Caenorhabditis elegans: one gene and its partner. The protein of the gene in region 1 purifies or fractionates together with the protein of each later gene. This does not show direct contact. Each region holds a gene or a part of one and is shown on either strand. Other genes may lie near its edges.

The links.
Region 2: the proteins of nhr-198 (region 1) and Y43F8C.3 fractionate together in Caenorhabditis elegans (co-fractionation; one large-scale study listed by BioGRID). This does not show direct contact.

Annotation. Positions count from the first base shown.
Region 1 is NC_003283.11:15,692,268-15,696,925, reverse strand, and holds nhr-198 (Nuclear receptor domain-containing protein), read right to left. Parts: upstream 2,933-4,658; coding exon 2,828-2,932; intron 2,468-2,827; coding exon 1,765-2,467; intron 1,038-1,764; coding exon 709-1,037; downstream 1-708. Other genes in the region: srx-29 (7TM GPCR serpentine receptor class x (Srx) domain-containing protein), read left to right, coding at 63-141.
Region 2 is NC_003283.11:19,619,397-19,624,367, reverse strand, and holds the start of Y43F8C.3 (BTB domain-containing protein), read left to right. Parts: upstream 1-1,741; 5' UTR 1,742-2,021; coding exon 2,022-2,122; intron 2,123-3,419; coding exon 3,420-3,633; intron 3,634-4,971.

The DNA of each region.
Region 1 (4,658 bases):
GAGTTTCAGGCCTACCTGAGTGCCTACAGGTCATATCACAGTTGCTTTCCAAACAATTTCAGAGGAATAATTTTGGCGTCTAATGGAGAACTGAGAGCTGCTTTTAAGAAAGGTATCAGCCAATTTATTCATTTCACTTAATTTGTTTTCAATTCAGAATCCACTGCAGTTTTCGTGATTGTTCGGAGGGTGTCGGTTTTGTAATTTTTTTGGTATTCTTCTCCACGAGAAGTTTTTGATGAATTTATCAAAAACTTTTTCGGAAAACACATTTTAATAGAAAATTAATGAATATCTCACCCAGCAATAAGATTTTTTTCACTAGAAGCTATAATTTTTCTGAAATTAATATATAAAAATTCCCTTAAAAATGGGAAATTCTCAAAAAATACAGCAACGTTTCTGAAAAATCAATAAATTTTTAAAAGAAGTTCAATTTCCAATGTAAATATGAATTATCCGAAAAAAAATCATAAATATACAAAACAATTGAATTTTCAAAAAAATCGATAGATTTTCAGAAAACTACATTTTTAAGAAAAGAGGTGATTGTAGAAAGACAAGTGCTAGGCAGGCACGTAGGCAGGCAGGCGGCAGGCAAGCAGGCACGTAGGGAGAAATATTCTTATTTTCGTTTAGATGATTTGTTTCAAAATTACATGTATTAACATATTAATTTTTAAAAATTCCGTGAATACGAGTTATACATTAAAAGATTCCATTTATTTTCTGATTTTGCTTCTGCACCTTCTGAGACGAATTTTCTTTACTATTATTTTTCTCGATGTCCAAACAAGTATCATATACGAGTTGTTTCCCTCTAAAATCTGGTGCAAGACATTGGAAAGTCATGCAAAGGTATTGAAAACCGTCATAAGCCTTGTTGGTGACATTGTACAAGGATAGGAGGTCAGTGAGCCGAGAAGGTGCGGATTTTTGGCATGTTGACTGACAATATTGGAGCAATGCAGAGCAGTAACGCTTTTGATGTCGGGATAGTGTCTCCTTAGCTTTTTCAGATAGCTCATCGGAAATTGCTGAACAATTTTTTTTAGAAAATTGAAATGCGAATTCCAGCCAAAATTGTTTGAAAAAAATATTTTTATTTTCAAAAAATATTTTTAAAAGGAAATTGTAAACGTTAATTTCTCGCCAAATTGTTCTTAAAATTGAGTATGGCAATTGTTCTAAAAGCTAAAGTATTAAATTCAAGGAAATTCAAATTTTTGCGCAAATTAAAAACATTAAAAAAAAACTATCCCGAAATTTGAATTTTAAATTTGAAAAGTTTCGGCGAGAAATAATAAAAATATCGTTTTAAAAAGTTTGGTAAAAATTGCACATTTTAATTTTTGAAACAAATTTTTGTCAGGAAATTAAAATTAAAATTTTTTACAAATTGATGCGAGAAATTCAAACAAAAATCTTGCAAAAAAATATGGCCGGGAAGTCCAAATTTTAATTTTTCAACAAAAATTGGTATTAATTTTTTTTGCATTTTTTTGTCAAATAGTTTCGACTGAAAACTTTTTTAAATGTTCAAAAAATCTTTGGTGCCAAATTAAAATTTCAATTTTTAAACAATTTTTCGCCGAAATTTTAATTTTGATTTTGAAAAGTTTTGTCTTGAACGAAGTTATAACCTTAAAAAATTGGGCAGGAGGTTCAAACTTAAATTTTTCAAAACATATCTTGGCGAAAAAATTTCAACTCAAATCTGTGTTTTAAGCAATTTTTCCTTCATTTTTGCTATGCAGAACTCACCAGGATTGCAAAAGAAAATCAGCGCCAATAGAATGCACTCCTCATTTGTAATATTCAACTCTATAAACTTATAAAGCACCATGCAAGATGTCTGATCCAAAAGCGCCGGAGTCTTTTCGAATATTCTACGAAATATCGGCAGGTAGACATCTTCACCGCTTGGAGTTACCAAATATGCTCTTTTTGCAGTGAAGCATCGCATTGCTTCAGTCATACATCCCATGCGTAGAGCATTGTATTTGAAAAGGATTACTTTGTCATTCAAACTCAACTTATTTATGAACTCGAAATCCATAAAATAGGAAATCCTCGCATGGATCCCCAAGAATGCCCAGTCATGGGAATCGGTGACGGTGTGAGGTGTCCGCTTTTTCATTTTCATCACATTCGAGTTTTTTAGAACATCCACTAAAGAAGGGTCCTCATTTGAGTAGTAGTTGATGAATTTTGTGTAGTTTTTCCCATCTTTTATTGTTAGCTCTTTTAAAAGGAGCTCCAGCTTCTGATCGAGATTATTAAAATTTTGAGCAAGTTGTCCCCGGAATGAGTAAAATGTCATGCCAAAGTTCAGGCATTTTTGAAAACGACAAGCTCGGCATTTCCGTTGAGCAATTGAGCACTGATTGTCCTTCTTGCAGTTGTAGCTCAATTTTTTCTCAGCAGATCTTCGGAAAAACATCTTGCACGCGGAGCAAGTCAATGCCTATAAAAGAAAAATTACCAAAAATATAACGATTCAAATTTTTTAAAATAAAATGTAATTTCTTTAAAAATTATTTTGCTTCCGAAATATAGATTTTTTTCACATTCATTTTCCCAACTTTCCCAGGGTAATATTTTGAAAGTTTAAGAAAAAGTTTTGGTAATTTGTCAAAAATTTAAAAACTTTAACTTTTTGAGCTATTTTCAGAATTTTCAAAACGAAGTTAAAATATAAAATTAATTTTTAAAAATCGGATTTTTTGGTCGTTTATTAAAACTAAAAGTGAGAAAAAATTAATACATTTTATTGTAAAATTTTAATATTGAAATATTTTTTTCCACTAAACTAATTTTAACTCACCCCATAATTCATCCCCAACGCCGATCCAAAACATATCACACACTTTTCTCTTACAAGAACACTTTCCTCGGTCTTGAAATTAGCAATACTTGCGTAGTTAGTCATAATTGAAGCCTGAAAACTCAGAGAGCAAGTGCCAACTCCGGCTCTTTTATATATAGAATTTTGGAGGAGGAAGTGAGGCAGAGATCTTTAACACAATATGTTATGCTTTTGATACTTTGATCACGGGATTTGCAGCAGAAATCACAAATGTAAAGTCGTTTCTTTTAAATACGCATGAAAGTGAAGTGCATTCTTATGCACTGACACATAAGTTCTGATCTATTGATAACTTGGTAAAGATTTATCAGCTGGAGTTGTCTAGTGATCTTCCGATTTTATGCACAAAATTTTTGATTTTTTGAAATGCTCCAATTTTACCGTTGATCATAGAGTTATGGAGACTTTAGGAAATTTTGTTAGAAGAGAATTCCCTAGATATATGTATTATAGAAAAAATACAATCGCACAAAAATAAACAACGACGCAACGACACTCCGCTATTTTTAAGCCCCTCCCACGATTTCATTTGCACTGAAATGTGGCGGCCGCAGTGCAAATGAAATCGTGGGAGGGGCTTAAAAATAGCGGAGTGTCGTTGCGTCGTTGTTTATTTTTGTGCGATCGTATTTTTTCTATAATAGTTTCTTGCAAAACTCACAAAATCCTGAAAAAATGAATTTTGTAATTTTTGAAAAATTGATAGCTTTGAAAATTGCCGGTTGCCGGAAGTTTTCAATAGCACCCCAGTATGATTACTCCAAATTTTTTTATTAGCAAAAAAATTGAAAGAAATCAAAAACAATTGTCATGTGTATGATTAAGTATGATGTGAGTTCTAAAAGGTAAACATATCGTATTATTACACGGTGTCAAAAAAAAAAAACATCCTGCGTCATTCTCTTGAACTTGGATCGGAACATTGAAGCATCATGTTCAAATAGTTTGAATTATCAACCGACTTGTTCACTATTCCAAAAAGTGATAAAAGCTCTGCGAATCGAGTTGGTGCAGATTTCGAATATTCCAGCTGGCAAAAACGAAGCAAAGCAGAGCAGTAGGTTTGTTGATGTGAGGATAAAACGAATTTTGTTTTGTCGCATAGATCACTCGTGCTATAGAGATTAAAATTTCAAAAAATTATAAAATTAGATTTTCAAAAACCAAAACTTACAGGTGTTACAAAACATGAGCAGTGTTAGAAGAAAATACTCTTCTTGTTTGATTTTCAATTCTGTAAACTTGGCGATCACTTGTCCCGACACTTGATTCAGAACAGCTGTAGAACTTCCACAAAGATTATACATTTCAGATGGAAAAATATCAGCATCATTCGGAAATGTTAATTTCGATTTGTTTTTGTTTTATGAGCACATGGCTAGTGCTAAGCATCCAGCTCTCAAAATATTATATTTAAACAGTGTATTTTTGTCAATCTAGGTCTCGAATAAAGTTGAAATCGAGAAAATAGGATATTCGAGTGTAAGACAACATATTTCAGTTTTGTTGAACGTTAATTTTAGTCTCGGATGTCTGGAAAAAAATATATGAGTGCTGTTGAAATTGCAGAATTTTAGCAAACCCTTTTTACAAATTTCATGATAATTTTATCATGTAATATCTCGGACAAGCTCGGATCCTCCAAAGAATAGAAGTTTATAAATTTTAAATAATTTCGAGCGTTTTTAAATTTCAAATCATCCAACAACTTGACAAAGTTATAATCAGACTGATTGCCAATATTAACTATTTGATCATTTGAAGGAGCTAGCTTCATTCCTAAATTCAA
Region 2 (4,971 bases), 3.9 Mb from region 1:
AAGGTCACGGGTTCGACCCCCAGCGTAGCCATTTTTTTTTCAATTGCGTTTCACACATTTAATTATTTTTTGAAAGTGTGCAAGTAACATTTTGCAGTTTTTACTAAGATCTTGAATCTGTCAAAGGGTTTTTCGAATTTTACCGGTTTTTTGGATAGTTCGACCCAAAATTTCAATATTTTGACGCCAGAAACTTTGAAAAATGCCCTAAAATAATTCTTCTGGCAATAAAAGATAAAAAATAAAATTTCGACCAAGTGGCGCAGTCGGTAACAGGGATGGCTATGACCCAGAAGGCCACGGGTTCGACCCCCCGCTAGAGTCAAAATTTTTTTTAAACTCTAAAGCTAAAGACAACGCAGTTAAAAACTATCATGACTTGGAACATGCCTATATTAGGCCTGAATTCGGTTCATTTCAGCCTATTTCGGCCCAAATATTTAAGTTGCTCAAACCTAGCCAATATGGGTGTTAAAACTATCCAAATTTCACGGAGAATCTGAATTTTTAAGTTACAACTCACAAAAAATTAGGGAAAATTGGTCACCGCTATTGGCTCTATGCCATACATGGCCCAAATTGAGTCCAAAACTGCTCTGTGTGTCCGGATGTCCTTATCAGCTGATATCATCAGTTTTCCCCCGCATATCGGTCACTACTAATTTGCGAGTAGCCAGCCGCCGTCTCTGCGTCTCTCATCGATCTTATCATCAACAAAATCGTAAATTGCCCGTTTTATTTGGACGAATCGGCATCTACCGTAACCAACAAATAGACTATGCTTTAAAATTGTTTGGTATGAGTGAAAAAGAAAAATATTGACCCTAGCAGGGGGTCGAACCCGTGACCTTCTGGGTGGTAGTCATCTGTGTTACCCACTGCGCCATTCGTGCAAAATTGGGATTTTGACTTTTTTTTTGCTCTGACCTTAAAACTTTAGGTTTATATGTTATTTTTATTTTTTCAGTTAGGAAACTATGGATTTTAGACTGATATTTAACAAATTAGAGTTGAAAATCTGTATTTAAAAGTTAAGCTGTGTTCTATGACATTTAAATTGATGAATCCTAGCAAATTTAACAAGAAAAAAAATTGACCCCAACGGGGGGTCGAACCTGTGACCTTCTGGGTGGTAACCATCCGTGTTACCCACTGCGCCATTCGTGAAAAATTCCAATTTTGATTTTTTTTCGGCTCTAAACTTCAACTTGTTGATTTTAGATGCAATTTTTTTAACTTTACAGTTTGTCGGTTCACACGAAAATTCAACAGGCTGGGCTAAAATTGACAAAATTTTAGCTGAAAATCGTTGTTGGCGTATGGCAAAGTTGCAAGTAAGTAAATCTTAGTGAGTTGCCTCTGCAAAAATTATCGTCCACAGCGGGGCTCGAACCCGATACCCTCCGATCCAAATCCATTCCTGTAACCTACTGAGCCACTTGTGCAAAATTCAATTTTGCAACTTTTTGCAGCCAAGCCCATTTTTCACCGTTTTTTCTCAATTTTTAGTCAATTTTTAGCATTCGACACAATCTAAACCCTCAATGTATATTGGCCAAGCGGTGGTGGACTGCTGGTCGGAGACGAGTGAGAGAGACGGGCCTCATGTGTCTGTGAGTGTGCGTGAGTGAGTGAGTTTGTGAGTGTGTGTTGAGCGCGCAAAAAAGAACACATTGGCCGTCGTAGTGCGGTAAAAGAGACGGAGAAGTTGCGGGGAATTGTTTGGGTGGTGAGGGGTTCGGGTGGGGCGGGGAGGGCGAGTCGATCAGCCGGGCCTCGCTTTCTCTGGCCGCTTCGGCATCTCTGATGTCTCTCCGTCTCCGGCACTCCCTCCCAGCTGTGTTGTCCGCCTATCTCTTTTGCCCCATCCATAGAGACACACTCACCAGCGCCCCTCTGCATACCCTCTCAGCTGACACACTAGAAAGGTCTGTTATTAGTAGTTGGCATATTCGCCTTTATTTTGCGGAAACTCGGCAATCCCCCCGGAGGAGCTTGGCTCGGCAATCGGCTCGCCAATCATGGATGATGAAGAGGAGATCCCTGTAAAGTACAAGCTCGACGGAGAAACCGAATGGCAGGTCAAGAAGGAGGCGGTGATGAAGCTCGGCAAGACTGAGTGGTAAGCTAGGGGGTATATATAGGTATATCTCGGAAATTATCAGAGCAATCAAAAAATTGTTAACTGAGGAATTGTAGAACTAGTTTTCAGCTACATTTTTGTAGTTGACAACTTTTTTGTATTACGTTTGGTTTTAGAGTTACAGCGTTTTGAAGTCTAGGGTCGGGAAAATCAATGGTGCGCAAAGGGGGAGGTAGTATAGGGTATATCTCAAAGATTAATAGCGGAATCAAAAAATTGTCAACTGAGAAATTATAGAGCTAGTTTTAAGCTACATTGTTGTAGTTGACAACTTTTTTGTAGGACGCTTGGTTTTAGAGTTACAGCGTTTTGAAGTCTAGGGTCGGGAAAATCAATGGCGCGCAAAAGGGGGGGGGGGGGTGTAGCATAGGGTATATCTCAACGCCTATAGGAAATATCAAAAAATTGCCAACAGTAAACTTGTAGAGCTAGTTTGCAGCTACATTCTGTTAGTTGAAAATTTATTTCTAGGTGCAGTGGATTTAGAGTTACGGCTCTTTCAATATCGGAGCCTACAAAATCAATGACTGCGGAGGGCAATGGTGCGCGAAAAGGGGGAGGGGGGTGTGCTAGAGTGTATCTTAATGACTATCAGTGATATTAAAAATTGTCAACTAAAGAATTGTAGAGCTAGTTTTCAGCTATATTTTGTACGTTGACAACTTTTTTCTAGGACACTTGGTTTTTGAGTTACGGCGTTTTGAAAGTTAGGGTCTAAAAATTAGGGGGCTCTGGCCAACAGGCCGTTTAAATCGGGATTTGTAGTTTTCAGGTCTTTTATCTATTTTCATAAGCCAATTGAAGACTGTAAAAAATTTTTGAGCCTAGCGGGGGGTCGAACCTACGACCCCTAGATTCATAGCCATCCGTCTTAGCCACTGAGCCACTTGCATAACTCCGTTATTTTGAAGTTTTTCAGCCCGAGACTAACTTTTTTGAATTGTCCTGGAAATTTGAGAAAATATGACACCCATATTGACTAGTTTCTGGTAAAATGGATTTTCAGGCCGTATCTAGGCCGAATTAGGCCAAATCTAGGCCATACCCAATTATTGCCGATTCAAGAGCAGTTTAGCACAAAAATAAAGTAAATGTTAAATTCATAATAGCCTATTTAAAATTGATGAAAAACTCGGACCCGTTTCGGCCCATTTTGGCCTATTCCGGCCCAAAATCTCAACTTTTCAGATTATAGCCGATATGGGGGACTTATTATCGGAAATTTTACGTAGAATCTAAATTTTTTAGTGCCAATACCTGAAAATTGAATTTTCAGGGCGATCCGTCTGAAACTGTGCAAGCAAGGCGAGAATCACAGCTACTACTCTCTCCACGTGGCAGCACTCACTCCAAACCAAGTGTCTCGGCTGCAAATAAAATGCACACATCAGGTCGAGCCGCCAGTCGTTGACTGGGAGCAGGAGTACACATTTGGAGGAGCTCACACCGTATTGGTCAATCCTTGCCTGTTGAAGATTGCCGAACAGAAGGTAAGGGGCTCGAACTAAGGCTCCAGCTGAGAGATGGATAGAGATACGGGAAAATTGTCAACTATGAACTTGTAGAGAAAGATGTAAGGTACATTTTGTTTGTTGATAACTTTTTTGTAGCATGTACCATTATTGAGATATACCATGTTGAAGTTGAAAATCAAAATTTGTACCTAGTACCTAGGACCACCAACTTCAAACGTCTGTAACTCCTTCAGTATCAGAAATATAAAAATTTTGTCAACTACCATAATAACCAGCTCATCAAGCTCTACAACTTTTCAGTTGACAATTTCCTTCTACCTCCTCAACTTGCATAGATATACGACGTTTCCCTCTTCCTATTCTCTGCCCCCAAAAGCTTAGAAAAGCTTGTGCGCGCATCTCATGAGCGCCGAGACAGTGTATAAGACGAAGAGACGCAGAAAACCGAAAAATACTCATGTCTAGGCGTATGTGTGTGTGTAAATGTCATGTGCGCTCTCTCCTCGCTTCCAAAACCCGACAAAAACATCGATTCGGCCGTCTCCAAGCGAAAGGGGAAAATGGAAGTGTTGGGGGGGACTGTAATAGACTTATAGAACATTTACGGTGATTTCAAAATTTAAAAATATAACCATTATGTAGAGGAAGTTTTGAGCTACAAATTGTTAGTTGGAAAATTTTTGCTAAACCTAAAAGCTTTGAAGTTACAGGAGCTTGAAGCCTTCTTCCAAATACTTCAGATTTTTCATCCTAAAATTCTGAAAACTCCATAGTTTTAACTTTCCAATGTGAAAAGTGTGTTATATACACTCAGAAAAAATTTTGTAACCCTATCCGGGCTCGAACCACCGACCTCTAGGCCAAAACCATAGCTGTTAGCCACTGAGCCAATTATCCAACTTTTTTATTTTTAGAGTTATCGATTTGTAGTTAAAATATTTGAATTCTCCGTAAAATTTGCAAAGTTTTGACACCCATATTGACTATATTCCGATGAATTTGGGTTTTGGGCCGAAATAAGCCGAAATAGGCCTGAATTAGGCCGAAAATCAAGTTTTGCAATACTTTCGGGCTTTAATATTTTGAATAATCAGTGACTGGTTAGCTACCATTGCTAGACACCGTGAGGGAATTTTCGGCCTGAATCGGCCTAATTCGGCTTAATTCGGCCCAAATCGGCCCAAATTTTCAATGTTTCAGAATGTAGTCAATATGGGTGTCAAAACTTTGCAAATTTTACGTGGAGTTCGAATTTTTAATGGAAAAATGACTGAAAGTTTAAAAAAACCTTACCCTACCTAAACAGTATAAAAAAAATTCCAAAAAAAAATCCAAAAAATTTTTTTTTTGCAG